Linked DNA regions of Diceros bicornis minor. The main gene of each other region encodes a partner of the protein of the gene in region 3 in a complex. Links are inferred from orthologs where the notes say so. Each region holds a gene or a part of one and is shown on either strand. Other genes may lie near its edges.

Evidence for each region.
Region 1: UBTF (region 3) and RRN3 share a complex: the UniProt entries of both Homo sapiens proteins name them as parts of the pol I pre-initiation complex. The link is inferred for Diceros bicornis minor from reciprocal best matches to the Homo sapiens genes UBTF and RRN3.
Region 2: UBTF (region 3) and TAF1A share a complex: the UniProt entries of both Homo sapiens proteins name them as parts of the pol I pre-initiation complex. The link is inferred for Diceros bicornis minor from reciprocal best matches to the Homo sapiens genes UBTF and TAF1A.
Region 4: UBTF (region 3) and TAF1B share a complex: the UniProt entries of both Homo sapiens proteins name them as parts of the pol I pre-initiation complex. The link is inferred for Diceros bicornis minor from reciprocal best matches to the Homo sapiens genes UBTF and TAF1B.

What each region holds. Positions count from the first base shown.
Region 1 is NC_080765.1:35,622,152-35,629,874, reverse strand, and holds the start of RRN3 (RNA polymerase I-specific transcription initiation factor RRN3), read left to right. Parts: upstream 1-4,715; 5' UTR 4,716-4,747; coding exon 4,748-4,836; intron 4,837-6,122; coding exon 6,123-6,228; intron 6,229-7,019; coding exon 7,020-7,076; intron 7,077-7,723. UniProt on the Homo sapiens protein: Required for efficient transcription initiation by RNA polymerase I (Pol I). Required for the formation of the competent pre-initiation complex (PIC).
Region 2 is NC_080777.1:10,820,523-10,827,479, forward strand, and holds the start of TAF1A (TATA box-binding protein-associated factor RNA polymerase I subunit A), read left to right. Parts: upstream 1-3,952; 5' UTR 3,953-4,011; coding exon 4,012-4,041; intron 4,042-4,575; exon of another isoform or gene 4,576-4,646; intron 4,647-5,138; exon of another isoform or gene 5,139-5,189; coding exon 5,190-5,322; intron 5,323-6,957. Other genes in the region: putative G antigen family E member 3, read left to right, coding at 3,068-3,448. UniProt on the Homo sapiens protein: Component of the transcription factor SL1/TIF-IB complex, which is involved in the assembly of the PIC (pre-initiation complex) during RNA polymerase I-dependent transcription.
Region 3 is NC_080757.1:42,828,054-42,835,735, forward strand, and holds the start of UBTF (nucleolar transcription factor 1), read right to left. Parts: upstream 3,010-7,682; 5' UTR 2,650-3,009; intron 2,221-2,649; exon of another isoform or gene 2,203-2,220; intron 1,079-2,202; exon of another isoform or gene 884-1,078; intron 1-883. UniProt on the Homo sapiens protein: Recognizes the ribosomal RNA gene promoter and activates transcription mediated by RNA polymerase I (Pol I) through cooperative interactions with the transcription factor SL1/TIF-IB complex.
Region 4 is NC_080751.1:70,279,229-70,287,027, reverse strand, and holds the start of TAF1B (TATA box-binding protein-associated factor RNA polymerase I subunit B), read left to right. Parts: upstream 1-4,784; 5' UTR 4,785-4,849; coding exon 4,850-4,867; intron 4,868-6,008; coding exon 6,009-6,107; intron 6,108-7,799. UniProt on the Homo sapiens protein: Component of RNA polymerase I core factor complex that acts as a GTF2B/TFIIB-like factor and plays a key role in multiple steps during transcription initiation such as pre-initiation complex (PIC) assembly and postpolymerase recruitment events in polymerase I (Pol I) transcription.

The DNA.
Region 1 (7,723 bases), on a different chromosome or scaffold from region 3:
GAAAGAATATTTCTCTGGTTCTTATTTCTGAGTTGGGCTGAAAGGGGTGAGCTGCTAGTTTCACTGTGAGCTAGATCAAGGTATACTGCTCTCGGCCTAATGCTCTTTCTACCATGCCATTCTTCCTTCTTAACGTGCTTTTGTATCCTACAGTACGTATTTACCATACTATAGTTAAATGATTTAGTGTGGAGAAAAATTTCCAGTACCATTATCAGATTATACCATGGTGAATTGATGTTCAGTATTACTTCTTCTGAAACTCAATATCCTCTCAGCTTCGATTTTCTGTACCTTTGTGTCCTGCTTTGCAAAAGGACTAATACAGAGTAATTTGAATATAAAGAAGGAAAAGGAATGAGTATTTGCATTTCAAAAGGATTCCCAGACAATCATCCATTTATTTCAGCATTCCCATTTTGGCTGTTTTCTCAGTTGATCCTCTTCATCTCAGCCACCACTGCCCTCCTCTAAATGACTATCACTCAACCCTGGACTGATAAACTAAAATCCTAAGAGATATCCCCTTTTCTATTCTTGCCATGGGGTCTTATACATACTTTTCTCCCTGCTTTCAAAGCACTCTCCCCTCACAGCCTCCTGACCCCTTCACCCTTAGTGTTTCTTAGATTTCAACTGTTATCACTTTCTCAAGGAAACTTCCTTAAGCTCCTTAAGAGGTAAATTCTGCCCATCATAGAACCACACAGCACTGTGTGATCTCCTTCAAAGGACTTAATTCATTTGTAAATTTACGTTTAATCAATGTCTGTTTTTCTCACTAGATGGCAAGCTCCATGAAGCCAAGGACCATTATTGTTATTTGCTGACCACGTATCCCCAGTGTCTAGCACACGGCCTGGTACCTAGGTGTTCAATAAATATTTGTTGAATAGATGAATGTAGATGTTAACTACTATTAGATCAAAAGCCTGTAGGCAAAGATAAAACTGAGGTTAGGTGGCCCCTACCAACCAAAGACCAATTAGAAAGACAGAAAAAGCTGATTTCTGAAATTGTGCCAATAAAACCATAGAAAACATGTTATTGATTCACAATTTCAGTTAGATACAGTTGCATTCTGAGGAATTTGGGGGGAAAATTAAGGTAGTTTTCTCTGTAGCATCTTCTGATAAAAATATGAAAAACATTGAACACATGAGGCTCTTGTATATTACCACCATTGTTTTCCAACAGAATAAAGCGGTAAGTGATTTTTTTTCCTATGTTCCCCCAAGAATATTACAGGCAAAAATGGAAATTTTATGACTGTTTACAATGTAATTTTGTATGTCATTTTACTTTTTTGTTCTCTAATCGTTTCAGATATGTTTTGTGTCTTCAATTAGACTAAAAGTTTACTAAGGCCATACTTTATACCAGTGGTTCTTAATTTTGGCAATATTGTTCCCCAGGGGACATTTGGCAATATCTGGAGACATTTTTGCTTGTCACAATGGGGAGGAAAGGAATGCTACTATCATCTAGTGGGTAGAGGCCAGAGATTATGTATTTTATATATGATTATACATATTAAAGATATACAGTTGAGATCTTGCATTAATGAATGGAGTTTTTATAAAGATAATTGAGGCAAAATAATTGTTGATTCTTTTTGGAAAGGGGAAAGGAGCAAATGGGATGTCTACTATTGGTTTTGCTATTTAGAAATTGTTGATCTGGATCTTCCTTATCATTCACCCATTTGAAAAACATTTATTAAGCGTGAATAGTGACCCTCTCATCTACAGCAAAGATTCATTGAAAGCCATTTGGTACAATATAACTTCACCTCTCTAGATTGGGTTAGAGGAGGGCACCTGACCCAAACTCGGCCAATGAGAAATTCTTTTCTGGCATCTTAAGATATCCTTGTATTCTTAGAACAAATTCTCCTTTTCTGCTTAAGCTAGCTTGAGATAATTGCTGCTACTTTCAAGCCAAGAGGCTTTAACCAACAGAACTACTCTAAGGATGATTATAAAACTCATCTCTAGGGGAAGACTGCTCTTTTGAAAAAACAGTTTAATGGGTCTTCTGGGTATACGAGAGTAAAGCAAAAATTCATTCTGGAATGAAGAAGCTCAGAACAATTACCGACAACTGCAGTGCACAGTGATGTCAAAGGATGACTACATTGTGGGCAAGGCTGCATCTTTGCAGGCAGCGTGTCAATGCTTGTTTGCTTTGTTGTTGTTGTTTTTGGAGGAGCGGTCTTTATTTTCTTTGATTAGAGCTGGAGACAAAAAGAGACAGGACTCTGGAGAAGGCAAGACTGGATAAAGGAGGCTTTTATCACGGCAAAATGAGCTGGCCCGTGGAACAGGTGACTGAGTAGAGGATCCCCAATGAAGGGACATGACCAAAGAATGCCAACAGTGAATTATACTATTTAGTTTTAAGATTTTTCTTGTATTATGCTCTTGCTCCTATTGAAAAAGAATTTTAACATGGAAGCCTAGTCTTACCTGTCCTTTGGGAAAATAAGGAAGGTGCTGTGCTCAAGCTTAAGGAGAAGATATTGCTGGGAGTGTATATTGGCACAACCACTTTGGAAAGTTCTTTGTGTCTTGTGTACCCTCCAGGCCAACAATCCTACCCTAGAAAAATTCTTGCATACATTATTCAGGAGACTATACAAGAATATTCACAGCAATGTACATAATAGTAAGGGGTGATAATCTAAATATTTGTAACAGGAAAATGGATATATAAATCCATGGTATATTTATACAATGGAATGCTAGATGGCAGAGAAAATAAAACACAATACACACAACAGGGATAGATTCTAGAAGCATCATGTTGATTGAAAATAAGCAGCAATATAATGCAGCATGGAAATAATTTTATCACTGAAAGACAAGCAAAAGGGCCGGCCCCGTGGCTTGGTGGTTAAGTGCGCGCGCTCCGATGCTGGTGGCCCGGGTTCGGATCCCGGGCGCGCACCGAGGCACCACTTCTCCGTCCATCCTGAGGCCGAGTCCCACATACAGCAACTAAAAGGATGTGCAGCTATGACATACAACTATCTACTGGAGCTTTGGGGAGAAAAAAATAAATAAAATCTTAAAAAAAAAAAAAAGAAAGAAAGACAAGCAAAAGTAAACAGTATATTGTTTAGGAATATATATGGCAATTACATAAAGAAAAGTTTAAATTATTTTAAAAAATCAGGATAGTGATTACCTCTAGGAGGAAGCAGGGACAAGGTGGGATCTGGGAAGAACACAGAGGAAGCTTCAATAGTACAGGTTGATATTCTGTTTCATAAATTGGGTGGTACACTCACACGTGTTCATTTTATTACATTTTATAACTTATATTAACATATATTCTTTTGTACACGTCAGACCTTTTTTAAACGAAAGAATAAAGTAATTGTCAAACTGCTTGACAGTACAGAGTTAAACTTCTACTGACCGTGTACGCGAGTGCCGATGAATTGTGATTTAATTTTTTTTCTCTTTGCTTTGGGGATGAGGGGGAAGAGATTCTAACTTAAACAGCTGTCTTGAAGTATCTTTGTGAGCTAGGGCGCAATTTCCTCTGCTCTTAGGACATTGATGGTTTCTGCCCAACCTTCCACCAGAACTCCAAAGCAGTGAGGAAAGAAGGGGCGGGGCCCACAAGTTGCTGTAGCTGGTTTTATGTACTTTTTTTTTCTTTCTCTTTTTTTTTTTTTGTGAGGAAGATTAGCCCTGAGCTGACATCTGTTGCCAATCCTCCTCTTTTTGCTGAGGAAGATTGGCCCTGAGCTAACATCCGTGCCCATCTTCCTCTATGTTATATGTGGGACGCCTGCCACAGCATGGCTTGATGAATGGTGCCTAGGTCCGTGCCCAGATCCCAGCCTGCGAACCCTGGCGGCCAAAGCAGAGGGTGAGAACTTAAACACTACGCCACCCGGCTGGCCCCACGTTTTACGTACTTTTGGTAGTTCTATACAGTTTCCAAAGGTTGCAACATTTTCCCCTCTTAGAAACTGAGGGGAAAGTCAGTCCCTCCTTCCCTATGTCTCCTTCCCACCCCCCATGCCATGGCACCTGCTCTTCCCTATGCCTGGAAGACCCTTCGCTGCTTTGTTGGGCTGCCCCACCCCTGTACCTCCGTTAAAAATTTAAGTTCAAGGGCTAAGGCCTCTTGGCAACTGTCCCCTGCTGTTTGATTTCTCATCCCAGCATCACCGCAGCTCTGAGGCTTTTGGGTAAGTCGCTTCCTCAAGCCTCAGTCTCCGTGAGGATAAGATCAGCTTGGGTGTCTGTGAGGACAGTGCAGTGGGTACAGACCCAGGATAGGTGTTCGAATCCCGGCCCCACCTCTCTGAGGGTTTGGATTAATCACCGGGACTCCGTTTCTTCAGTTTGACTGAGGGATGCTTTGACTCCAAAAAATGAATAGTAGAGAAACCCAGCCACCGCTTAGCGCTTCCCCGGTGTCCCCGCCCTTTCTCTGGGATCCTCAGGGCAGGCTCCGAATCTCTCTTCTCCGTGTAGTTCCACCGGCCTCAGCACCGCACCTCGCCGGGCGGAGAAACTCCTCCACCTACAATGAGGGGTCCTTACGTGGGGCGGGGAGGAGGCAGCTTTGGCGGCGCTCTAGCCCGCCGAGATCACGCTGCTCTCCCACGTGGGGCTCCTGATTGGCTGGAGGCCTCCGCTCGCACGCGCGTCTTCCGGGCCAGAGGCGGGGCTAGAAGGGGCATGAGTTCCGGCGCGAGGCGCAGTCGGTGCGCTTCTCCGGCCCAATGGCGGCCCCGTTGCTTCACACGCGGTTTCCTGGAGATGCTGCCGCTTCGACCTCTGCCGTCCAGGCGCTGAGCGCGTCCAGATCTGGGTAAGAGTCCGGGCCGCTGCCTTCTGCGGGTCTGGGACCAAAGCCCGGGACGGGGATTAAGGGAGCGGATCTGAAAGGGCCTGGGACAGAGCTGATGGAGTAGGGTGGAGCGGAGGGTAGGGGTCACCTCAGGTTCTCAGGAGTGAGCCCGTGTCCTTTATGTGGGTAATAAAGGTGGGAGAGGGGCTGGGAAGATGATTCTATCCCCTGTTCCAGAGTCTCCTTTTCTCCCACGGGGCTCCCTCATAGCGTCCCAGGCCTGGTTTCTGCATTCTCCTTTTCTGTTTCCTCCCGCTTCTTCGTCTAGATTTGAAAAGAGTTGCCTGGGCTGCTCTGTTTGCATCATCAGCTGTCACGGATGACAAATTGAATCTTAAGTTTTTTTTTTGTTTGAGGTTTGTTTCGACACACATACTTAACAGTCTTTATCTTGCTCAACTTTTAAAGCCCCTAACCCCCATAAAACACTTTGTGGTTAACTTTGAGAGTCGTTAGTAGGACGCTATGTTTTTTCACTAATCTGCTCTGTTTAAAAGAAGCGAACTTTGTAAAACACTTACCATGATATCAGTCATAATGGTTATTAAGCGCCTACTTACTGTATTCGTCACTGGGGACAGTAGTCTATCAAGAGAGACAAAGTCCCTGCTTTCAACAGAGCTTGCAGTCTAGGGAGGGAAAGACAGTAAATAGGCCAATAAGTAAATGAACAGGATGATTTCAGATACTGATAACTGCTGTGAAGATATAAAACAGGGTGACGGGAGCGGGGAGGGAGAAGATGGATACTTTAGGTTTCTGATGGGGAAGGCCTCTGACATTTGAGCTTCAACTTGAATGACAAAAATCCAGCCATGTATAGATCTGGGGAGTGAGTGTTTCTGATAGTGGAAACAGCAAGTGAAATGGGAACCAACCCCCCCCCCCCATGGCTGCAGTATAGTAAGTGGTTGGAGATGAGGTCAGAGAGGTAGGCAGGTGCCATATTAATGTAGAACCTTGAAGACTACCGTAAGGAGTTTGGATTTGTATTCTGAGTGAAGCAGGAAATCTTGGGAGTTTAAGCAGGGGAGTAGAGTAGCACGGTCTGTCTTAAGGTTTTGAAAGATCATTAGATCACTGAATGAAGAATCGGTTGTTGGGGGATTAGAGTGGAAGGAGGGAGGCCAGTTAGGAGGCCTTAGCAGTAGTCCCACTGACTGATGTTAGTTCAATAAATGTTGGCTGTTATAACTTTTCTTATTCTCTGTCATGCACTTAATAGCTTAATAATCTTGGTTCTACAGGCTTTCAGATATGCTTGCATTAGAGAATGATTTCTTCAATTCTCCTCCAAGAAAAACCGTTCGGTTTGGTGGTACTGTGACAGAAGTCTTGCTGAAGTACAAAAAGGTAAGAGGAGATCATGTGAGAAATGTTAGGTTCCCCCCCCAGCTTTACTGAGATATAATTGACATATTGAGGTTTTTTTGTTTTCTTTTTTTGTCAGAATACAATTATAGCTGTTATACTAAAGAGGAGTAGACGCCATAAAATGAATTTTAGATATTAATCTTGAAGTCAAATATTCAATAACCGTGTGATGCTGTCAGCTCAAAATTAGAGTAATAACTGAAGTTTCACCTCTTCAAGTGCTTTATTTACATAGTATCTTTTAAAAACTTGAGCAAGTACTATAATAAAAAGCCATGAGATCAGAGCATCTTATTTCTTAAGAAGTTACGTAAACATTACTTTGGGACAATAAACCAGCTGTGTTAATAGGGATTTTTTTTGGTTTGTTTCTGTGTTAGTTTTGAAGTGATTCTACTAAATCTCAGCAATGGAGGGAAAATATGAATGACTGTCTATTTTTGTATGTAATGTGCATTTATATTCATATACGTGAATGGATAGTATCTTAAAGTATCGACTGTCATATTCAAATGTCGGTACACAGGTATACCTAAATACGAATGGCCTTTTAGTTGTCATTTTCTTTTTTCCAAGCCCCCTGGCTCCACCAACATGAGTTTTAAAATTTTTGTACTTATGATTTTTTATAGTCCACAGTTGATACGTGAAAGTTCCAGTGTTCCTTTTGTAATTTCATCAGATGTTAAGGTATAGTGAAAAGTCTTGCTGTTGACTGTAACAGGAAACCAAAGCAAGCAAAACTTCATTTTTTTTCCCTTCTTATAAAGGGTGAAACAAATGACTTTGAATTGTTGAAGAATCAGCTGTCAGATCCAGACATAAAGGTAATTAATTTGTGTTTGATCATTAACAAAGTTGTTGCCACTTTGTACAGATGTTAAAGTTTGCACTTTGGGTCCTATTCCACCCTCTAGAACTTGCTGTCTCCATGATTGCTTCCTATTTTAATCCAGTGGTTCTCAACCAGGGGCAGTTTTGTCCCCCCAGGGGACATTTGGTGATGAACTGGAGACATTTTTGGTTGTCACAACTGGGGGAAGGGAGTGGTGCTACTGGCATCTAGTGAGTGGAAGACAGGGATGCTGCTCAATGTTCTGCAATACACGGGGCAGCCTTTCAGCGCAAAGAATTCTCAGGACCAAAATGTCAGTAGTCCTGAGGTTGAGAAATGTTGCTTTAATCTTTCTTTCTAGTACCTCTTTCCTCTATGCTGCGTGCAACTCTCATGTTTCTCCAATCCTAATACAAAACAAAAAACAATGAAAGATGACTTGTCTTTCAAGCTACTGCTCTTCCTGTGTTTCGGAGTTCAAGATATGTACCTGTTGTGTAGTAACAACTCAATATGTTTCCCTTTCTTCCTTTATTGCCCAATTTTGGAAAGAATAGTCTATTACTATGGCAGTGGTAGTGATCGCCTGGGATAAAATCCCAGCTCTACTGTTACTCAGTGTGTGATCGCAGGCAAGTT
Region 2 (6,957 bases), on a different chromosome or scaffold from region 3:
ACGAATGACTTGGGGGTGGTGGTAAATGGAATTATACTGTGGTAAGGCTCCTTTATTTTATGTGAAGTATCACAATTTTAACTCCAAGTAGACTGTGATAATTTAAGAATGCATATCATAATTCCTAGAAACACTGCTAAAACAATAATGCAAAGAGATATAGCTAAAAGCTAACAGAGGAATTAAAACGGAATACCAAAACATTTGATTAATCCCAAAAATGGCAGGAAGTGAAGAATAGAGGAACAAAAAACTAATGGGACAAATTGGAAACAAATAGAAAAATGATAGACTTAAATTCAAAAATATCAATTATTATAATTCATATAAATGAATAAAACACACCAATTAAAAGATAGTGATTGTCAGATTGGATTAAAAATATGTGGCTCCAACTAATTATTGTCAACAAGGGAAGTACATTAAATAAAAAACACAGATAGGTTGAAAGTAGAAAAATGGAAAAAGATATACCCCACAAACAGTAAGCTGAGAACATGGCTGTGACTATATTAATATCAAACAAACTCATTCAAGATAAAGAGTTTTATCAGAGATATAAAGGATATTTATAATGATAAAATGGTTATTTCATCAGGAAGATATAAGAACCACAAATGTTTGTGTGTTCAATAACAAAGCTTCAAAATATGTGAAGGAAAGCTGACAAAACTAAAGAAAGAGACAAATTCACAAACATAGTTTGCCATTTTAACACGCCTACCTCAGTAATTAATAGTAAGTGTTCATACGGTGATATGAAAAATCAGTAACAATGCAGAAGATCTGAACAAAACTAACAACCACCTTAACCTCATTGACATTGGTAAAACATGACACTCAACAGCTGTAGAACACACATTCTTTTCTAGTGTCCACGGAACATTTACCAAAATAGACTATACTTTGGGCAATAAAGTAAGTCTCTGAAATTTTTAAAATCTTGACATCTCACAGAGTTTGTTTTCTGACTGCAGCATAAATAAACTGGTAATGTCTAACAAGATCGACTGATGAAGAAAAAAAGATGGAAGATGCAAATGATCAATTCAGTGTTTCAGTTTTCTATTGCTGTGTAACAAACTACTCCAAAATTTAGTGGCTTAGAACAACCACCATTTTGTTACTCACCATATTGTGAATCAGGAATTTGTACCGGGCTTGGTGAGAATAGTTTACCTCTGCCCCTGTGTTGTCAACTGTACTCACTTATGCGGCTGCATTTAGCCAGTGACTGATTTGGGAGACAAGATCTGAGAAGGACTTCCTCACACATGTGGAATTAAGATGCTGACTGTCCTCTTCATGTGGCATCTCTCTGTGTGGTGTTTCATCCTCCAGGGACTCTTTTTTCCTGCAGCCTCTCTCTCCCCAGTAGGATAGCCTGGACTTCTTTGCAGAGTAGCTCAGGGCACCAAACGGGCAAAAAAAATGAAGTTGTACCTTTGAGGCCATAGTTTTTCCTCAAGTCTGGGGTGGGGTCCTAGTCCACGTATTTGGGGGAGTTTATAGTTGGATAATATTTTTCTCTATATTGTTATGTGACCTGTTTTGTTCTTATGCTTTCATTTTGCCATATTCCTTTTTTATCTTGTTCATATTATTAGCTGTGATATAGTATAGTCTACTTACGATGATGTCTTTCCAATTGTTTGGTTGTCTGAAGCTTGTTCTCTATTAGACTGCAGGGAATCTAATAAAGGGTTTATGGGAATAATTGAAGGGTTCATGGGAATAATATTCTCTAAATAACAGTTTGCAGTTTTTTTAAAAAACGTAATTCAACATCATATTAAGTTACTCTTTAGCACAATGCAATTGTAAGAACATCTTTGTTCCTTAGGATATGTTTTCTTCTAGATCAGAGTCTAGAAAGTCTTCTGCATGCATTGTTTTATGTTTGCATTTTTGTCAGACTATTTCCTTTTTTTAAATCTTATTTATGCTATTCCATGTGATATAGTATAATCATTTTCTTTTTACTCTCTTCTCCCTAACGCACTTTTTACCAGAATTGTACCATGGAAAAGAGAAGAGGTAGGTAGAGCATATAAAGATATTAGTTCTTAACTTTCTCTCTTTAGATTTATCTACCATTGCCCACAGTTGCCTGAGAACGTTAAGGTAAATCAGAAATTTCTTCCCCATTTTTGTGAGAGCATGAATTTCTAGCCACATAAAATCAGTTCTGGATTGGTTTTGGTGAAATCACACCTCATACCTTCCCATAGCAAGGCGAGCAATGTGCCCAGATCAAACCTCTAGACTAGAAGCTTATGGCTGTTATTTTGTGTGTGTGCCCTCCTGGACATTATCATTTAGGTCAGCCTTGCCTGTGGAATTAGAGTACAGGCTTGAGTGAGGCCAAGGACTTATGACACAAGGATCAGCCAAAGGAATTTTTCCTGCAAGCCCATAGCTACTGCATAGTATTTATCAAGACAACATAGAATCAAGTATTTGCAGCATTTTAAGGAGTCGCTGTACAAACTTTTATTAGACCCTTTAATCTCCTCTACAACACTCTGATTCTGCTCAAATGGTTCACTTTCAGGGTAGAGGAAATCCAAAGATTCATGTGGGAGCCTGTGCCGTTATTTGCGCAGCCTTATTTACGAACAAAATTCTTGTAATGACTTTACGCTGTTTCCCTTTAACTTTACCTACTTAGTCCTAGTTCTATTCTCTGATTCTATGAAAAAATAGTCTTACCCTTCTTTCACAGATCAACTCCACAAATTTTGGAGATACATATTATGTTCGCATGTGTCTCTGCTTTCCCAGGATCATCTTTCCTAGACCTCCTCAACTTGCCCTCATTTCACATTTAATCATCTTACTTTCGACTCCTATTTCACAGAAGTTTGGCAATTCGTTATGAAAAGTCACCCCACACGGATCCACGGAACCATCCCCCGAGAAGGAAAAAGGTATGCTTGTCCAAATTTTGGGCAGGCAGTCAGAGTCACTTAAATTCAAAGCTAGCTTTTCTTCTGTGCCAGTCGCTGTGCCAGGGGAGGTCATGTTCCTGCCATCTTGATTCTTTCTCGCTGGCTGAAACTCAGCCATGGGAAATATGAGTTGGCATGTAAGAACAAGATCCAAAGCTGCAGGAAGAAAACATGATCGAGAGTCTTCTCAGCCAGTTGAACCTGTGGTTGCTCAGCAGCCCAGTGATGAACAACCTCAACTAGAGGAACCACCAACTGAGAGTCAGGATATTATACCTGCTCAGGACATTGATGATGAAGGAGCACCTTCAGTTCACGGGCCTGATGTGGAAACTGATCAACAGGAACTGACCCTGTTGAAGACTGTGGATGAGCCTGGAGAAGGTCCTGATGTCGAGGAAGAGATTCTACCACATCTAGAGCCCATTAAAATGCCAGAAGCAGGTAAAGGACAACCACAAATTTTCAAGCATGCTGTCCTTACGGTGGAAATTTGAGAGTTAATCTCTGAATAAAGTTTTACAACTTTCTTCAAATAAAAAAAAATTCAAAGCTAAAACTTTAATAAAAGAGAAAAAACATTTCAAGGAAGCAGTTAGGCTATGTAACGATTTATCTTGTCAGGACCGCCAGCCACGCCTCCGAGGCTCGCGCAGTGCAACCCTGAGCCAAGCAGGAACGGAAAGGTCATCGTACAGTGAATTACTCGGGTAAAGTGACATTCTGCTTTTTTGACCATTCCTCTCTTCCAGGTGCCCTCACTCCCATCTTCATTTGCAGTTAAACTCTCCTATTTTGCGGCTGCGACAGACTAAGTCACAAACCTGGAGCCATCCCAAAGCGAGGGCGACAGTCAACGGTCACTTCCGGGTCACTTCCGGGGTCGAGGCGCGGACAGCCACGCCTCCACCGCGGAAGGAGGAGTTAGGGGCGGGGCTGCGTCTGCGCACCGCAGGGACGCCCGAGGCAGATTTTGCGCATGCTCACGGGAAGCACTCGCTAACTTCGCTTCCGGGGAAGGGTTCCTCACGTTGCTTCTGGAGTCGGGACCTAGAGTTTAATGTTACAGAAGAGCTCCGGCTTTAGGCAGGTAAGTGCATTCACAGTGGAACGGGAAGGGCTGTGCTAGGATTCACCTGTGTTCCTTCTGCTATCTTCTCTTGATGCTCTGAAACCTCGAGGTCCGAGAACTGGGCAGAAGGGGTGGAGAAGCTTTGGTTACCGTGGCAACCGCGTGACATCAATTTAGTCTTTGAGACTTTGGGAAGGGAGAGCTCCTTATGGAACGACGTCTTAAAATACATGTGGGTCGGTTGCAGATTCAGGTGTTATTTCAAGCCCACGCTCCTAACCCTAGCATTTGATTTTAAAAGGTTTACGTGGCTGTAATGTGGAGAAGCAAAATTCGAAGCAGGGTAACCAGAGAGAAAGCTAAAGCAGTAATCTAGACCCAGTTTGAAGGTGTCCTGAACTGGGGTAGTGACGTAGGATTGCGGAGAAGAGGGAAGACTGGAGAAGTGCTAGCAGGTAGTATCAGCAGGACCTCGTAATCCATTGGATATGGGGCCCTGAGTATCTTGAGGATCAAGTCCAGACTCAGCTTGGAAAATGGCTGTCTTTCTAGATTCCTTTCCCGCCGTCAGTTCTGCCTTCTGCCGCCTCCTCCACGCAGACCCCAGACTCTATTCATGCCAGGTAGTTTCGTGTTCTAGTTCCTATAATATTGTTCTCTCCTTTCTTGTGACGGTGGACCAGGTCACATAATTTCACTAATCTCTCAGTTTTTTCGACATGAAAATGGAAGAAAATAATAGTACTTTCCTTAGGATTTCTGTAAGGATTAAATTAGATAATTTATATGCCTGGTGTGTAGAACAGGCCCAATAAATGTTAACTCCTATTATTATTATTGGACTTACTTGTCCTATTATTTTGTTATTATGCGTCATTTTGCGTCATTTTGCTCTAGACTTGAGTATTTTTTTAATTAAAAGGTTAGTATCTATCTTTGTATGTTCTTGAAATATAATAGTAGTTAAGTTTTTTTTTTTTTGAATGGATCATTATTTTTGGCTGTAGCTGACATAATTAAATTGGTTTTTTTCTTCGAGGGAACTACTAGGTACAGTTAATTTTGTTAATCAAATGATATTTATTAGGTAAAAAGATGGTTTTTTTTTCCTGTAGAACTCAGAAGCCTGTGGATTAAGATGTACAGAGAGTAATTGATATTCTCAGTTTGGAATAGGTATGAGTGATTTCAGTGAAGAATTGATAAAGTCTGTAACAGAGGATGACCGGCGGGAAACCTGTGAGCTCTCCGGTACAGGAATGCAACTTCCTTGGCTCCAAAAGCATATAGAAACTGTGGGTAAGTAAAATAACATATAACCGTTTTAACTTGAACGCGCGGAGATGATGAGATTCAGTATGGTTACAAAAATGAATAACTAAGCTGGTTCAGTTTTCAAGATAGGAATATATGAGGTTTTTTTAAGGCTGTAAGCAAAAAAGAAATCATAAAAATATGCTTCTTTTTTTTCAGAATTCTTCTCCTTTGAATTAAGAACAGATAGTCTGTATTATGGTAGATACACATTCTTTTTTCCAGCAGTACTTACTGAGCACTTATGTCCCTGGCATTGGCTAAATATTTGAGATACATGGATGAAGAAGATATGGTCTCTGCCATTGAGGAGTACATACCTAGGAGGTGTTTTCAAGAAGTTTCTGTTGAACTGCATTGAAATAATTCCTAATAGAATTCATGTATAATATGTTTCAAAAAAAGAAATTTTCCCCCATTTTCATCTAATGTAAATAGAAGCAAGTTTTTCTATGGGATCAACTCCCTATCTGAATATATAAAAGAAGCAGTTATCTGTATGTTGGCATTTTGGGTGGTGTAGTCCTAGGAATACATGTGAACCAGCACTTTTCTTATTAGCCTCAAATACATCTTCTTAGTCTAGCCTTCTTTCCCCTTGACTGAGATTCCTTGGCTCCTAGAATTTAGCTCCTTTATCTTCTTCTTTCAACTAAGTATCATCTCATTTTATTATCTCAGTAAATTAATCCTCAGTAAATCTATGTGCTAGGCCATTTTGGAGATGAGGAAACTGAATCTCAGCGAAGTTAAACTCTAAATGTTGGTACCAGGAGTCAAACCCAGGTCTATCTGATCTCAAAGGCTGAACTTTTAGTGACTGCGATATATAAAAAAATGGGATAATATATATAAAGTGCCTAGCACAGAGCCTTGTGTGTAGTGAGTGTTGAAAAAATAATGGTTTCTTTCTTCTCTTCTCATTTTATTTTTGCTATATTAATGCACATGGTTTAAGCCAGGTTTGAATGGATTGTACTTTAGAGAGAATAGTACTTCACTCCTTGTAGGGAAGTAGTAATCTAAAGTTCCTGCTAGTTAAGGCATCCCTGGGCTTGTTTCTGTCACCAGTGTCTACAGAGAGCTTGAGTCAGTCCAGAAGCAAATAGGTTAAAGACCAGAATTTACGTGCTTAGGAGTGTTTTGTAGATTATGGATAGCCTGTTAAACTCCAAATACTTTATGCCTGCAATGAGAAGATAGTTGCAGGTAATACTGGCATTGTAGTGATAATTAACCATAATAGGAAAACACAATTGCCTAACAATTATTTATTTTTTATTTTGATAGATACCTTTTGGCATTTGGAAGGATGTGCCCCCTAGAATAAAAACTTTGAAGACATGAGCGAGTTGGGAATCAAGCTGTATGTTGAGTACCTAGAATAGTGCTTGGTGCATGGTAGTGCTCAAAAAATATTTGAGACTGACCGACGAGTTTCCAGATTCTTTCAAGGGCATTAGAAATTAGGTTTATGACACCGTCTTTATTGTATTTCATTCCATCAAAATGTATTTTCCGGGGGCTGGCCCGGTGTCGTAGCGGTTGAGTTTGCACGCTCCGCCTCGGTGGCCCAGGGTTCACAGGTTTGGATCCTGGGCTCGGACTGACGCAATGCTT
Region 3 (7,682 bases):
AGCGCCCGCCCTCCACCCTCCTTCCCCCACCCTAGCCAAAAAAAAAAAAAAAAAAAAAAAAACTCCTCCTCCTCCTCCTCCTCTGTGAGCCCGCCCCGGGGAGGCCCCAGGCTGGAAGAAGGGGGAGGAGGAAGGGCGGGTAAAGGGCGCGCGCGGCCGCGGAAGCGGGCACGCGCCGCAGTCTCCTCCTCCCGCCTCCCCCCCGGCCGATTCCCCCCGCCTCCGCAACCCGGCGGGGACCCGGACGCAGCGCAGCCGCCGCCGGCCCCGGAGCGCAGCGGCCGCGCCGCCCCCGGGGACCGGATCCGGACTCCCGCCGCCCCCCCTCTCGGGCTCCCGACGCCGTCCCCGCCCGCCCGGGCGGGCAAGCAGCCGGAGAGAAGCGGCCTAGCCTGGCCCCCGCCCCCGAGCCACCCACCCCGGCCAGAAGCGTCGCCACCGCCCAGCCACCCCGACGCGCACGGAGGAGCCCGGCGCAGAAGCGCGACCACGGCGGGAACCGCCGCCTCCTCCCCTGAGCTTGCGGCCCAGCCCTGCCGGCGCCCCCGCCCCGGCCTCCGGGGAGCAGAGCCAAGGAGAGGGTGGGAGGACGACGGCCGGGAGGCGGGGGAGCAGCGCTCACCGGCCCCGCCGCCCCCTCCGGCGGCCGGCGAGAACTGCGTCTGGCGGCTCGGAGAAGCGCGGGCTCCTCCGCCTGCGGCCGGGGTTCGGCTCGGGCCTCGCTTCCTGCCCTCCCCTCCCCCGGCTCTCGGCGTCCTCTCCAGTGCCCTGGTTCTCTCTCGCCCAGTCCTCTGCCCGGAGGTCACCCCGGGTCCCCTCCTGGCGGCTACCGCACCCGCGGTTCGCTCCCCGCCACCCGACCCCGGCGCGCGTTCTCAGCCACCTCGGTTACCCGGCGCAGCGCGGCCTCCGGCCTTCCCGCTCCGGCGGCTCCCTCCCCGGCTCTGAGCGGCGGCGCCCTCCCCCGCTCGGCCGGGCACAGCCGCAGCTCCCTCCCGCGGCGGCAGCGGCTCCTCCTCCGGGCGCGGCGGCGGCGCTGGGGCGGCGGCTGCTGCTGCTGTGGCGGCGGCGGCTGTGGCTGCTGCCTGCTGCTCCTCGCGGCGAAAAGCACAAAGCACAGCGCCCTCCGCCTGCAGGCAGCCCGCCCGCCGCCCGCCCGCCGGCCCCGGCCTCAGCTCGCACACCCCCCGCCGCCGCCGCAGCCTCCGCCGCCGGAGCGGGGAGGAGGAGGGAGAAGGGAGGAGGAGGAGCGGGAGGGGGGGCGGGAGAAGCGGGGCAGCGAGCGCGTCCTTCCCCGTAGAGCGCACACCGACCCCCGGGGAGCGAGCGCCAGCCCGCCCGCCTCGCCGGCTCCGCTCCCTCCCACAGCCTGCCCGGGCGGGCTCCGCGGGGGGCAGCTGGGAGGAGGGGCGGGAGCTGGGGGGACCCGGGCGGCCGAGGCGGAGGGAAGGAAGGAGGGGAGGGGGGTGGTGGTGGTGGTGGTGGTGGTGGTGGTGGCGGTGGCGGCGGCGGCGGCTGCTGCTGCTGCTGCCGGGAAGGGGGGGCCGGGGCAGGGAGACACGCAGCCGCCCGGATGGCGGCGGGGCTCGGAGCCGAGGCGGGCGGGCGGGCGCCGAGAGCGACCTCGCCAGACCCGCGGGGGAACTAGCAGGCTCGGCCGGCGCGGGAGGGAGAGCGCGAGGCGCGGCCGCAGAGAGGGTGCCCGAAGGGGCCCCCCGGTGGCCGGGGAGACTCAGGGGGTGTCTGTAGCCCTGCTCCGGAGCTCTCCCCCAAGTCCTCCCAGTTCAGAATCGGGTTTCCATGCCAGATCTCTCCCGCCTCCCGGAGCGGGCGGTCCGCGCCCACACTCTTCCCCGGAGCGTGGCCACCGGCTTGGGGCTCAGGCACGCCGATCGCGGCGCCAAGCTTCGGCGCCTACCTCGCGGTCTCCTCGCTGCCAAACAGCACACACACGAAACTTAAAAAAAAAAACACCACCTCTACAAAATGCCTTCCCTGCAAATTAAAAAAAAAGTCCCCTTCGCTTTTTACACCCCGGAAACGGCAAGGGGGCGACGGGCTCCGGCAGAGGAGCTCTCTGGGAGCCGGTTCAATCCAGCCCGGCATGGCTCCCCAGGCCTGCCAGGGCGCATGGAGATCGGCGCTGCCGCTACTCGCAGCAACCCCTCTCCCCCGAAATCCGCGGCGCCGGGGCTCACTTACCGAGCGTGTGAATGGGAGCGCGGGCCAGGGGCACCTAGGGGTGCTGCGGGCCGAAGAGCCGAGCCGCAGCTCCGCCGCAGCCGACGCCGGGGCAGCGAGTCGCCAGACAAAGCCCGAGATGGCGAAGCGGAGCGACGGCTAATGGCGAGCCCCACGCGCCGCGCTCCGCCCGCCCCGCTCCGCCCGCCCGCCTCGGCGCAGCGCAGCGCCGCTCCGAGCGCTCGCCCGTCAGAGCCGCCTCGGCGCCGCCGCCTCCCGGGCCACCCCGGCCTCGCCTGGCCCCTCCGCCTCCTCCGGGCGGCTCAGCCTCACCCCTTCCCTCCCACCGCGCTGGGGGCTGCACGAAAATAAAAAAAGAAAAATGCTTTTCTTTCTTTTTTTTTTTTTTTTTTGGCAGGGCGGGCGTGTTGAGACTTTTGGGTCGTTTTGCCCCCAGCTCGCACTCACCTGCGGAGCCGCCGGGAGGGCTGGGGGTGGGGGCGCGCGGGGCTGGAGCCGGCGAGCGCGGGTTGAAAGCTAGCCAAGCTCTGCAGCGCCCGACCCGGGCGTATACGCCGCCGCCAGTCCCCGCAGAGAAATCTTCCTCCTACCCCCGCCTCCATCGCTCTGCGTTTCTCTTCCAATCAGCCGGTCGCTTGGCGGCTCCTCCATTCTCCGGCCAAGCCCGCTGCCTAAAGCGAGCTCCACTCCTCCATCTGCTCGCCTGGCTCTTTGCTCCCCTGCCGGGGCCGGCGAGGCGACGTGGGGCCGGAGAGGGATTTGCGAGGGAACCTGCCTGCTTCCCGCTCCCATTGCTCCCTCCCCGCTGCCTCCTGCCTCCTGCTTCTCTCCTGCGTCTTCCCAACTCTCCCTTGTCGCCACTGGTGTGTGTCTGAGTGTGTGCGCGGTTTTTTTTTTTTTTATTGCTCTTTGCTTTTGCAACCCTGAAGCCAAAGCGGGGGGGGGGGACTTTGGGGAGTGTTACAAAAAAAAGCAAGAAAGAAGCTCTTAGATTTGCAACACATTGAAAAACCGGGGGAGCACCCCGCCTCGTCCGATCTCGGGGCCCCGCGAGGGCCTTCCGGGTTTTAGAGCAAGCCTCTCCTTCTCAGCCGCTCACCTCCGCCGGGTTTGGAATCCGAGGGGTCCGAGCAAAAAGTTCTCCCCCTGGCCGGTAGCAAGGGGTGTCAGGGTGGGAGTTGGGGGAATTTCTCAAGAAGCACCAGCCATCCCTCCCACCCCGGCTTCGTTAGCTGGGCCGGCCGGGGTGGGGGCGGAGAGCCAAATCCTGGTGGGTTTGCGGGAAGGGGCTTCCGGGGCGAAGTCGAAGCCGGAGACCGCGCTTCGCTCATCTCCCGCTCGGTCTCTGCCTCCTGTCCCCTGCCAGTTCCCCCTTTAATTCTTTTTTTTTTTTTCCCCTCTCCTTTAATCTAATTTCTTCCAACTCCACCTTTGTTGTTACCGGCGTCACGCCCGGACCAGCCAATCCCTGCCACGCAATCAGCGTGTCAAAAAGGCTCCACCAGCCCTGGGAAAGCAGGCCGCGGGCGCTGCCCCCCACCCCCGGCGGCGGCGGAGAGCCGCGCGCGGAGCCTGGCACTCGGGCCTCGCCGCCGCAGCCGCAGCGGGGCAGCTTCGGCGTAGGCCTCCGGCACTCCACGACCCTGCGAGCCGGCGATCGAAAGGCCTGGGCGGGGACCTCCATCTACCCTCCCACTACCGCCGGCTGTGGTTGTCTGTTTCTGCCTCCCCTCCATAGAGGAAGGGTTATCAGGACGCAGCGAGCCAGAAGCCAGTCTGAAGAACGCCTGCTTCCAACAGGCGAGCCTAGTTCGGGCCATCGCTCCTCGGGCAGCGCCATTGCTCCTGGCTCCCAGGCGGCCAGTCTCCCACACTAACACTGCTCCCGCCCACAACTCGGCCAGCTGGGTCACCAGCCCCTTTGGACTCTCCCCTGGCACACAACCTTCATCCTCACACAACGGCCTCGCTGCTGCTGTAATTCCTCTTGTCTCCTGGGAGAAATGAGATTCCTTTCCCAGGATTTCCACAGCCTGCATCTGCCACGTTTCACAAATAGGGAAGAAAAGCCTGTCAGGATCTGGTGTGTCCGGATTTTTCTGTGGGCAGGGCATGTAGGAGAAGCTGATTTACCTTGACGCTAATGAAGCTTCAGGGCCCTTCATTTTCAGGACCTGTCCGAGGCCCTGTACTTCATTTTGATTCATCACTTGACATTATTTTTGTTAAAGAGTGTCATGTCCAGTCCGCGACCTCATGTCCCGTCCCCGACCGTCCGTGCCCCCACCCCCCGCACGGTTGTACAAGTTTCGGCCCCACAAACCCAGCCCTGCCCTTGGAACATACACAAGGCATTTTGTGTAGGATCAAGCTATCTTGCTCTGTACTTAGAGCAGAGCAGGGAGCGATTTTCTTTCTTTCTTTTTTTTTTTTTTGAGGAAGATTGGCCCCTGAGCTAACATCTGCCAATCCTCCTCTTTCTTTTTTGCTGAGGAAGGCTGGCCCTGGGCTAATATCTGCCCATCTTCCTCCACTTTATATGGGACGCCACCACAGCATGGCTTGCCAAGCGGAGCTTCGGTGGGCACCCAGGATCCTAACCGGTGAATGCCGGGCCGCCGCAGTGGAGCACGCCCACTTAACCGCTTGTGCCTCCGGGCCGGCCCCCGGGGCGACTTTCTTGTATTGACTAGGAAACAGCAGAGGGTTTGGAGTCAGAAATCCCAGCTTCCCAGCCTATCAGCTTCCCCGCCTTCTTAATAGTGTGTGAGTGAGATCAAGTTTCTTAACCTCACCTAATCCTAGTTTCCTTGTCTATAAAATTAGAACAGCAATCCTATGTTCTCTGCTTTCCTCAGGAGTCTGAAGGTCAAGTGAGATGATGTATGTAAAATGTAAAATACTCCGCAATGTCACTTGCCACAATTACAGTGGGAGAAACTTAGACCCCAAGAAAGTTCCAAATCTTCCACACACAGATCTGGAGTCCGGGTGTCCTGGCTCCTGGCCCTGAGCTTCTTGGCTGGGCCAAGACGCCTTTCGGTAAAATGCTTTGGAATAAAAAGGGATGAACATGAATCATAAGAAAGATTGTTATTGATTTTTTTTCATTCTTCGGGCAGCAAAAATCATGGCTGGCACTCTTCCCGCTTGGAAACCTATTGACTTGTTTTACATGTATTGTGTTTCTGGTGAGGTCAGGAGTCTAGGACTCCGGCTGTGGGCCAGAGCATGAGGGAATCGGCCCTTGGTCCTTTTTCTTTGCCCCCCTCCCAATTCATCCGCCTTTCCCTTCCAGTTTTCTGCCCTGTGCCTTGAAGCAGAACCTCAGCATTCCACAACCCCAGCCCAGGCTGGTGACAGGGTATAATCCTAGCTACAAACTCTCCACTTGGCTCCGGCCCTTCCCTGGGCTGCCAGTACTCCAGCACCAACTCCTATAAAACCCCTAGTGTGCCTGGAATGTATTAACCAAAGTGTAGTACTTGAATTCCTGGTGTTCATGGAGTAATTTTAGATGGTATACAGATCAACATATTATTTTCAAAGTTATGTATTTTAATGTGTATTGGAAATGTTCTTTTAAAATTTTTACTTAAGATAGTGACATAAAATATGTAATAATATACACGCGGAACCAGCCCTGATGGCTTAGTAGTTAAAGTTTGATGGCTCCACTGCTGCCACCCGGATTCAGTTCCCGTGCGGAACCACACCACTCGTCTGTCAGTAGCCATGCTGTGGCAGCAGCTCACGTAGAAGAATCAGAGGAGCTTACAACTATACACAACTATGTACTGGGGCTTTGAGGGAGGGAAAAAAAGGAGGAAGATTGGCAACAGATGTTAGCTTAGGGCAAATCTTCCCCTGCAAAAAAAAAAAAAAGTACACCAAAAAAAAAAAAATAAATGTATACCTGAAATTTACACAATATTATAAGCCAATGTGACTTTAATAAAATAATTTTAAAAAGATAAGAGCCTAATAAAAATGGTGGCACAGTTTTATGTATGTTAGATGGTTACCTACACAAATCCTACAATAAATATGCACTATATCTAGGAAAATAAAAAAAGATAGTGACATAAAGACTTCTTCCTCTTTTTTTTTTTTGGATCTACTGTCCCTTATTTATTTTTTCTTTTTAACTGAGGTATAATTTACGGATAATGAAGTGCACATATCTTAAGTGTACGGCTTAATGAATGTTTATAAATGTATACATATTATACATGTTACATATATATACCATGTAACCACCACCCAGATGGAGATATTGAATATTTCTAGCATCTAGCTCACTCAAAGTCAATATTCCCCTCCAAATGTCACCACTATTCTGAGTTCTATTGCCATAGATAAATTTAGCCTGTTTTTGGAGTTCATGTACATGGAATTACACAGTATGTACTCTTTTACATCTGCCCTCTTTTACTCAACATTATGCCTGAGATTAATTTATAATGTTGCATGTAGTAGTGGTTCATTTCTTTTCATTGCTATGTAGTATTCCATTGTACAAATATACCACAATTTATCCTCTCTACTTCTCCTTCTCCTTCTTTTTTTTTTTTGTGAGGAAGATTAGCCCTGAGCTAACATCCGTTGCCAATCCTCCTCTTTTTGCTGAGGAAGATTGGCCCTGGGCTAACAACCATGCCCATCTTCCTCTAGTTTATAGGGGACGCTGCCACAGCATGGCTTGATGAGTGGTGCGTGTGTCCACGCCTGGATCAAACCTGTGAACCCCTGGCCACAGAAGCGGAGTGTGCAAACTTAATCGCTTTGCTACCGGGCCGGCCCCTATCCTTTCTACTTCTAATGGGCATTTGGGTTGTTTCCAGTTTTTGACTGTTATGAATAAAGCTGCTTCAAACATTCTTGTGCATATCTTTTGGTGGATATATGCATTCATTCCTCCTGGGTATATTTCCAGGAGTGGAATTCCTGTATCATAGAATATAAATATATTGGACATTAATAGATTTTTCCAAATGGTGTTGTCAGTGTTTTTGGATTTTGGCCATTCTAATAGGTGTGTAATGTTATCTCATTGTTTTAATTTTCAATTTCTTAATGGCATATCATGTTGAATATCTTTCCATATGTTTAGTTGCCATCTGTATATCTTTTGGTGAGATGTCTGTTCAGGTCTTTTGCCTATTTTTCAATCAGGTTGTTGGTTTTCTTATTGTTGAGTTTTAAGTGTTCTTTGTATATTCTCGATAGCGGTCGGTTATCAGATGTGTCTTTTGCAAATATTTTCTCTCAGTCTGTGGCTTGTCTTCTCATTCTCTTGACACTGTATTACACGGAGCAGAAGTTTTTTATTTTAATAAAATCCAGTTTAGGGGCCAGCCCGGTGGCGTAGTGGTTAAGTTCACACACTCTGCTTCAGCAGCCTGGGGTTTGCAGGTTTGGATCCCGGGCACTGACCCACACACTGCTCATCAAGCCATGCTGTGGGGCATCCTACATAC
Region 4 (7,799 bases), on a different chromosome or scaffold from region 3:
ACCCCTCTGTCTAAAATAGCAACTCCCACCCCCAGCCTTCCACTCATCTACTCTCTATCTTCATCTTCTGCCTTCTTTTTCTTCCTGGCAGTTTTTTGGCCATCTGACATATTTTACAATTGTTGATTTATGTATTTATCATATGTCTCTCCCAGCTAGCATGTAAGCTTCACAAGGTAGGGAAAAAACACTGTTTTTGTTCATTGCTTTATTCCCTGTGCTTAAAAAGTGCCTGGGAAGTGTAGGTGCTCATTTGTCTAACGCATGAAAAAGTAACTGCTTTTTTGGAAGAAGTTTATGCTATGGAGAGAGCATTTTGAGACAGATGTTTGCAAATGTTTCCATTGGTATGAAAACACTTGGTTCTCTGTATCTTTTTCTGTTATGAGCGCCATTAAAAAGAAATATTATAGTAAATTGAATTCAGGACAAGAACTACAAATCACTGTATCACAGTGTTAAGCCAAGATTTTTAAAAATAGTGAACTCTTTAATTGCATAATTGTTACTAATATTTTCATTGAAAGGAAAGTTATTTATATTAACAAATAATAAATTATTTAAATTTTATTTATCTTATCATCTTAATATTTACATTATGAGTGTCCTATCATATACATCACTGGAACAGTCCTGCATGTATATAATTTATACAAAAATACATACCTGCATAATGGGGATGTGAGCTCAAAATTTTTTTCTGATATGTTGTTATCTAGAGGAGGGAATGTGGGCAGGACTTGGGTGGGTGGTTTTCTGTTCCACCTAGCATCAGCTGAGGTCATTCACTAGCCTGGGAGGTCCAAGAACGTTTCATTCACATGTCTGACACTTCAGTTCTTTATGGAGCTTCTCCAGTATGCATGGCTAGCTTGGGCTTCCTCACAGTATGTTTGTCTTAAGGTAGTTGGACTTCTTGCCATGGCAGCTGGCTTTCAGGAAGACACATTTGAAGAAGAGCAAAAGCTGCAAAGACATTGCTTGGAAGTTATAAAATATCGTTGAAGCAGCATTCCATTGCTCAAAGCTGGTCACAAGACCATTGCAGATTCAAGGAGCAGGGGAAATGGACCTCATCTTTCAATGGGAAGAGTGACAAAGAATTTAAGTCCATTTTAAATCCACCACAGGCTTCTTTTGCACATATGGTATTTGTGAGATTCATCCAAGTTGCTGTATGTAGTAGTTATTCATTCTTTCTCATTACTGTATAGTATTCCACTATATGACTATATCACAATTTGCTTATCCATTCTCCTATTGATGAACATTTGGTTGTAATTTTTGGCTATTATAAGAAAGCTTTATAAAAGTAACTGTGCATATCTTCTGGTGAACATATGTACTAATTTCTGTTGGGTATATATATCTAGGAGTAGAATTGTTGGGTCATAATTAGCATTACTTCCAAATAGTTTTCCAAAATACTTCTACCAATTTATACCCTCAGCAATGCAGAAGAGATCCAGTTTATCCATATTCTTGCCAAACCTTGATATTGTCCATCTTTTTAACTTTAGCTGCTCTGTTGGATGTGCAGTGGCATCTCACTGTGGTTTTAATTTGCATCTTTCTGATGAGTCACGACGTTGAGCACTTTTTCATATATTTATTGATCTTTTAACTCTCCTCTTTTGTGAAACAGCTGTTCAAGTCTTTTGCCTATTTTTTATTGGATTGTTTGTTATTTTTATTGATTTCTTGAATTTATTGAAATTTATTGGTTTATTGAAATGTATTGATTTATTGAATCCTTTATTTGTGGATATGTGTTTTGTTGAATACATGTATTGTGAATATCTTCTCTCAGTCTTTAGTTTGCCTTAACAATGTCTTTTGATGAATTGAAGTTCTTAATTTAAATGAAGTCTAATTTAACAAACTTTTCTTTCTTTGATAGTGTTTCGTGACCTATTTAGGAAATCTATGCTATTTCAAGTCATAAAGATATTTACCTATTTTTTTCCTAGAAGCTTTAGGTTTTACCTATTACATGTGGGGCTATGATCCATTTCAAACTAATTTTTGTGTATGGTGTGACGTAGGGGTCAATATTTTTTTCATATGAACTTCCAATTGATCTAGATTCATTTATTGAAAAACTATCCTTTCCCCACTGAATTTTAGTAGCACCTTGATTGTAAATCGAGTTATCTTACGTGTATTTACAGGTCAGTTTCTGGACTTTCTATTCTGTTCCAATGATCTATTGGTCTGTCCTTGCACCATACTATCTGGATTACCATTTGATTTATATATTTTTAAATGTTAAACCAACCTTGCATTCCTAGAATAAACCCAACTTGGTTTTCATTTATTATCCTATTTACATGTTGCTGAATACAACAAAGGACTTGCATTCAATTTGCCAATATTTTGTTTGGAACTTTTGCATCTATGTTTCTGAGAGAGAATGGGCTTTAATTTTTACTTTTCTTGAAATATCCTCACCAGGTTTTGGTGTCACAGTTACGCTAGCTTCATAAGACGTATTGGTGTATGCTCTCTCTTTTTCCATTATTTGGAAGAGTCTGTGTAAGACAGGTATTATTTCTTTCTTAAATGTTTGGTAGAATTTACCAGTTTTACCTCCTTTGAGATTGAGGTTTTCTCTGTGAGAAGGTTTTTATACACAAAGTTATTTCTTAAATAGATATAGGATTGTTCAGACTTTCTACTTCTTCTTGCATACCTTTTGATAACTTGCATTCTTTTAGGAATTTGTCCATCTCATCAAAATTTTTAAATTTATTGGCCTTGAGTTATTGACAGGGGTGAGTAATGGTTAGTGCTGGGCTCTGTGTCTGTCACTGAAGAGGTGTGGAACTTTGGGTATATTAACTGCTTGTCCATAATAGTAGTGCTGGGGTCCTTGCTATGGTTAGGTCCTCTTGCTAGGCTTGAAGGGCTAAATACATCTCTTTCTGATTTACACATTCTTTCTTTAGATATATTAATACCTTCAATCAGGCTTTGGTGTTCAATCAGATCTTGGCCCAGTTGCACACAGCCAAGCCTGGTAAGTGACATGGGTGACACAACTAGAGAAGAGCATTTATCTAGTGCCATGATAAAATAATGAGACTAATTGCTCCACTGGCCTGGGTGCCTCTTGAAGGCAGGGACTCTGCCCTGTTTATCTCTCATTTCCTGATTGCTGGCACAGTGCCTGGCATATAGTGGGTATTTAAGGACTTTGTGAAATAAATTAATTAACAAGTGAATAAGGAGTGAGTGAATAAAGAGCCACTCCCTTGGTGATCTCATCTAGTGACTTTAAAAACCATCTAGACAAAGATAACTCCCAAATGTATATCTCTAGTTCAGAATTTGCCTCTGAACTCTAGACTCCTATATCCAAATGCCTTCTTATTCTACCTGGCTGTCTTAGAAGCATCTCTACCTTAACATGTCCAAAATCAAACTCCTGATTCTCCCTCTACCCCACTGCCAAACTGTTCCACCCACAGTCTGCCCTTATTAGGTCAATGATAGCTCCACCCTTCCAGTTGCTCAGGCAAAAATCTTGAAGTCATCCTCGACTCCTTTCTTTCTCTTACAGCCCACTTCTTGTCCATGAAGACATCCTTTTGGCTCTACCTCCAAAATCTGTATTTCCAGGAACCATGTACTTCTCACTGTCTCCACTGCTTTTACCTGGTTCAAGCTACCATTATAGCTTGTCTAGATTATTGTAATAGTCTTCTGATTCATCTCCCAACTTCTACCTTGGACCACTATCATTCTATTCTCCCCACAACAGCCAGACTGATCTGTCAAACAAAAGTCAGATGACGTAACTCCTCCAATGTCTTCCCCCATTTCTCCAAGTTAGTAAAGTCCTTACAACCATATTTTGCCCCGACCTCATTTTCTACTCTCCCTTTAGCTCATGTTCCAGCCCCTCACTGACCTCCTTGCTGATCCTTAAATAACATGGCATAAGGTTCAGGACTAGGGCCTTGGAACTTACTGTTCCCTCCACCTGGAATGATGTTCCCAACATGGCTCTTGCTCCTTTGCCTCAAAGGTCAGTTTGTCAGTGAGACCTTTCTTGACCACCCCATTTAAAATGGAAACCACCGTTAGCTCCCATTGTCCTTTCCTGCTTTTCTCCTTGGCCCTCATGCCCGTTTATCATACATATATTTTCCTTATTTATTTTTGTCTCTCCCCACCAGAATATACTCTCCATGAAGGCTGGGACTCTTGTTGACTCTGTTCACTGCTGAATCCCCAGGACCTAAAACAGCGCCCGTTTAATGAATAAATCAAGGAATGAATGTGCCCAATGAAGGAACAATAATAAAGGCTAAAATGAGTGAGCACTTACTACGTGAGGCTCAACGATAAGGGACTCACAGGTAATATCTGATTGTCACAGAGGAGGCACCTGAGGCACAAGGAAGCAGAAGAGCCGTGAGAGGACACCCAGGTTTAACTCAGCAACCTGTGTTCTCCCCTCCAGCACCGCGCGCCTCCCCGGGGCTATCAGAAGCCCGCGGGAAGGGGAGAGCCCGAGCCCTCCACGCCGCCTCCCTGCAGCCTAACAGAGCAAGGGAGTCTCGGAATGAACGCCGTCAGAGGGGCGTGATTGAATCAGCTCAGCCTTAGGCACCGCCCAGTTTCTCACTGGCTGGTTTTAGTAACCTCGACTAGAAAGGGATGCAGTCTGGGAGGGGGATGCAGAATTTGCGGAGCTTTGCCCCCGGAGCCAGCAGAGGCTTTCCCGGGGCCGCAGGCGCCCGGAATCCAAAGTCAGGGTCTCCGTTTCCGTCCGGAGGGCTCCTCCCGGCGCTCCCGGAAGCTGGGCTCGTGCCGGGTAACGGGCCCGGGCGGCGGCGCCGTTATGGACCTGGAGGAGGCGGTGAGGGGGCAGCGCGCCGGGCGGGCCGACAGCGGGGCGGGGGGAAGTGAGGCCGAGGAGCAGCGGGCGGAGGACGCCGGCTGGCTGTGGGGGCCGCGGTCCCGAGGGGGCGGGGCGGGGAAAGGGAGGGCGCTGGCGCGCGCGTGTGCGCGCGGGTTTGGGACCCAGGCTGGAGTGTGCGGCGGGGGCGGGTGTGGGTGAGGGGAGCGTGCAGGTGTGTTTCCGGAGGAGGAGGGCTCCGTGGGGTGGCCACCCACACGGCTCATCCTCTCTCGACGGGACCCCGGGGTTCCCTTGGATGCTGGGTGGGCGAGGGAGCGCTGGGGCTGGGGCCGGCCTGCCCCCGAGCGCCCCCGCCGGTCCCTGCGAGTCCTCGCCGCGGGCTGGCGCAAGGATGCCCAGTGGGGTCTGGGGGCACGCCGAGGTAATGATGGCTGTCACAACAGGTTGATGAAAACTTGACCAACTTGTCGGAGTAAATTTGACATTCATTTTTGCCGTGCTGCATAAGATGCCTCACTCTGGGGTGTTAAAGGAGTGTTCGGTGATTAGATCAATGATGATGTCAAACACCAAAGAGCTAGGAGTCAGTAATTTAGTGCCAGGCTGTGTGTGTGCAGAAGGGCTTACTCCCCCAGCCCCTGTTAAGTGCCTGGTACCTGCGAAGCTGATGCTCCTTACGCTGCTGAATGAATAAATCGAAACTCGAAACAACCCTGATAAAAATCTGGGTCTTTTGTGGTGAGTGTGTGTCTTTAGTGTCCTGGAGGAAGTTCCGAATGGTAGGCTATTTCTGTTTTTTAAATCTTCTCTATACGTAAATCTTGTCGTCTTTTTCCCTCACGGCATTTTCAAGGAGTTTTATTTACTCATCTTTTTTTCCATTTTACCCCCACCACCGTTTCTTCTTTTTTTCCCTCACACACTGCATGTTTTAGAAACATTTCTTTAACAGTTTAATTTGGTTTCAAACTGCTCAAAGACTGAACTGCTGTTCTCCTTGTTTGTTGATAATGTCTCTGATACATTTTCTATTTCCTATGATTTTTTATTTATAGAGTAAAATTGCGGGGAACCCTATGAGTAGCATTGCAGGGTTTAGGTGCGATGTATTGAATGTGGTTTTCCTTTTCTCCTGTAGAAAGAGTTCAAAGAGCGCTGCGCTCAGTGTGCTGCTGTCTCCTGGGGTCTTACTGATGAAGGCAAATACTATTGCACTTCTTGCCACAATGTTACAGAAGTGAGTAACAGATCTCATTTATGAATTTGCTTATGTTTTAAAAATTGCTATTTCAGCCCAATATGTGCCATAATTCCCAAAGAATTGATCTGTTTTTATCACTTATGCAATGCCCAAATTCCAAGAACGTAAGCCATCTTCCAAGTGCTTACACAAGAGTTAGGGAATTTGTAGGTTAGATTTAGGATGAATTTTCGAAAGTATGTTGGGCCACATATTTAAATGATTTCCTGATTCAGACTGTATAGTCCAAGGTGAAATAATTAAAATTATACTTAGAAGATGATTTATTTCTTTTTATTAGTTAATACTTATTAAGAATTTTTAGTGTGTTGTGGTAGCTTAAAGGTTTGGAAAATGGAATGTTAGAAAGACTGAAGATTATTGGGAGTATTGAAAATACGTTTCATTATCGTTTTACATTTGTACAGCACCTCACAGATTACAGAGTGTTTTCTTGGCCATTATTTTGTTTCCTCCTCTTAACAACCTGTGAGATATACTATTTTTTTTTTTTTTTGAGGAAGCTCAGCCCTGAGCTCACATCCATGCTAATTTTCCTCTCCTTGCTGAGGAAGACTGGCCCTGAGCCAACATCTACTTCGAATCCTCCTCCTTTTTTTTTCCCTTTTCCCCTTTTTTTCTCCCCAAAGCCCCAGTAGAGAGCCACATGTCATAGTTGCACATCCTTCCAGTTGCTGCACGTGGGACGCCGCCTCAGCATGGCCAGGCAAGCGGTGTGTCGGTGCGCGCCCAGGATCCAAACCCGGGCTGCCAGTGGCAGAGCGTGTGCACCCAACCGCCAAGCCGCTGGGCCGGCCCCTTAGATATACTATTATGCCTATCCATAGATGGGGCAGGCAGGCCTCATGAGTTCAGTGAGCTTGCCAAAGTCACACAAGTGTAAAGTGTTGAGCCGGGGCTTGAACCTGAGTCTTCTGATTCCAGTGTTCATTTTACCCCATCACACCTGCTTCTTAAAGCAGAGATTGTCATACTGTCCTGTGTAACCTTGGTAAATGAAGCTACCGTCACGCTGGGAGTGCTAGGTCCTGTTCTGGTTACCACACCTTCAGGGCAGTATAACCGAAATAATCAAGGGTGTGGACGACCTGCTATTGGACAGACTAAACGTGCCAGGACTCTTCTCTCTGGAAAAGGATTTGCTCAAAATCTGCAGATCCAGGAGGGAACAAATATTACCTTCACCGTATAGGCTGAAGGAAGGCAAATTTGGGACAGATAAAAGTAACTGTGTAGACTTCTGCTTCTGGCCAAGATGGAGTAACAGGAACCAGGTTTACCTCTCACCTTAAACAACTATAAACCTGGACAAAATATATGAAACAAAAAAAATTTTTTCTTGAGAAAAGTGGTTAATTTAGCTTCCAGCTCAATCACACAAGAGCTGTTTGAGACAATCGTTGTCTTCAGTCTACAGTGGAAGTTTTTATGTCTGCTTCTCATTTAGTTGCACAGAATATTAAAATGATAAGTACTCACGCAATGAAATCATTGGAGTGATGGGTATGTTCATTTCCTTGATTATGGTGATGGTTTCATGGGTACACACGCACACACACACACACACACACAATCAAACTGTATACTTTAAATATGTGCAGTTTGATCTTTTCTGCTTTGATGCATGTTAAGGCACTAGCAGTGTTACTCACTATTGCTTTTGCTGCA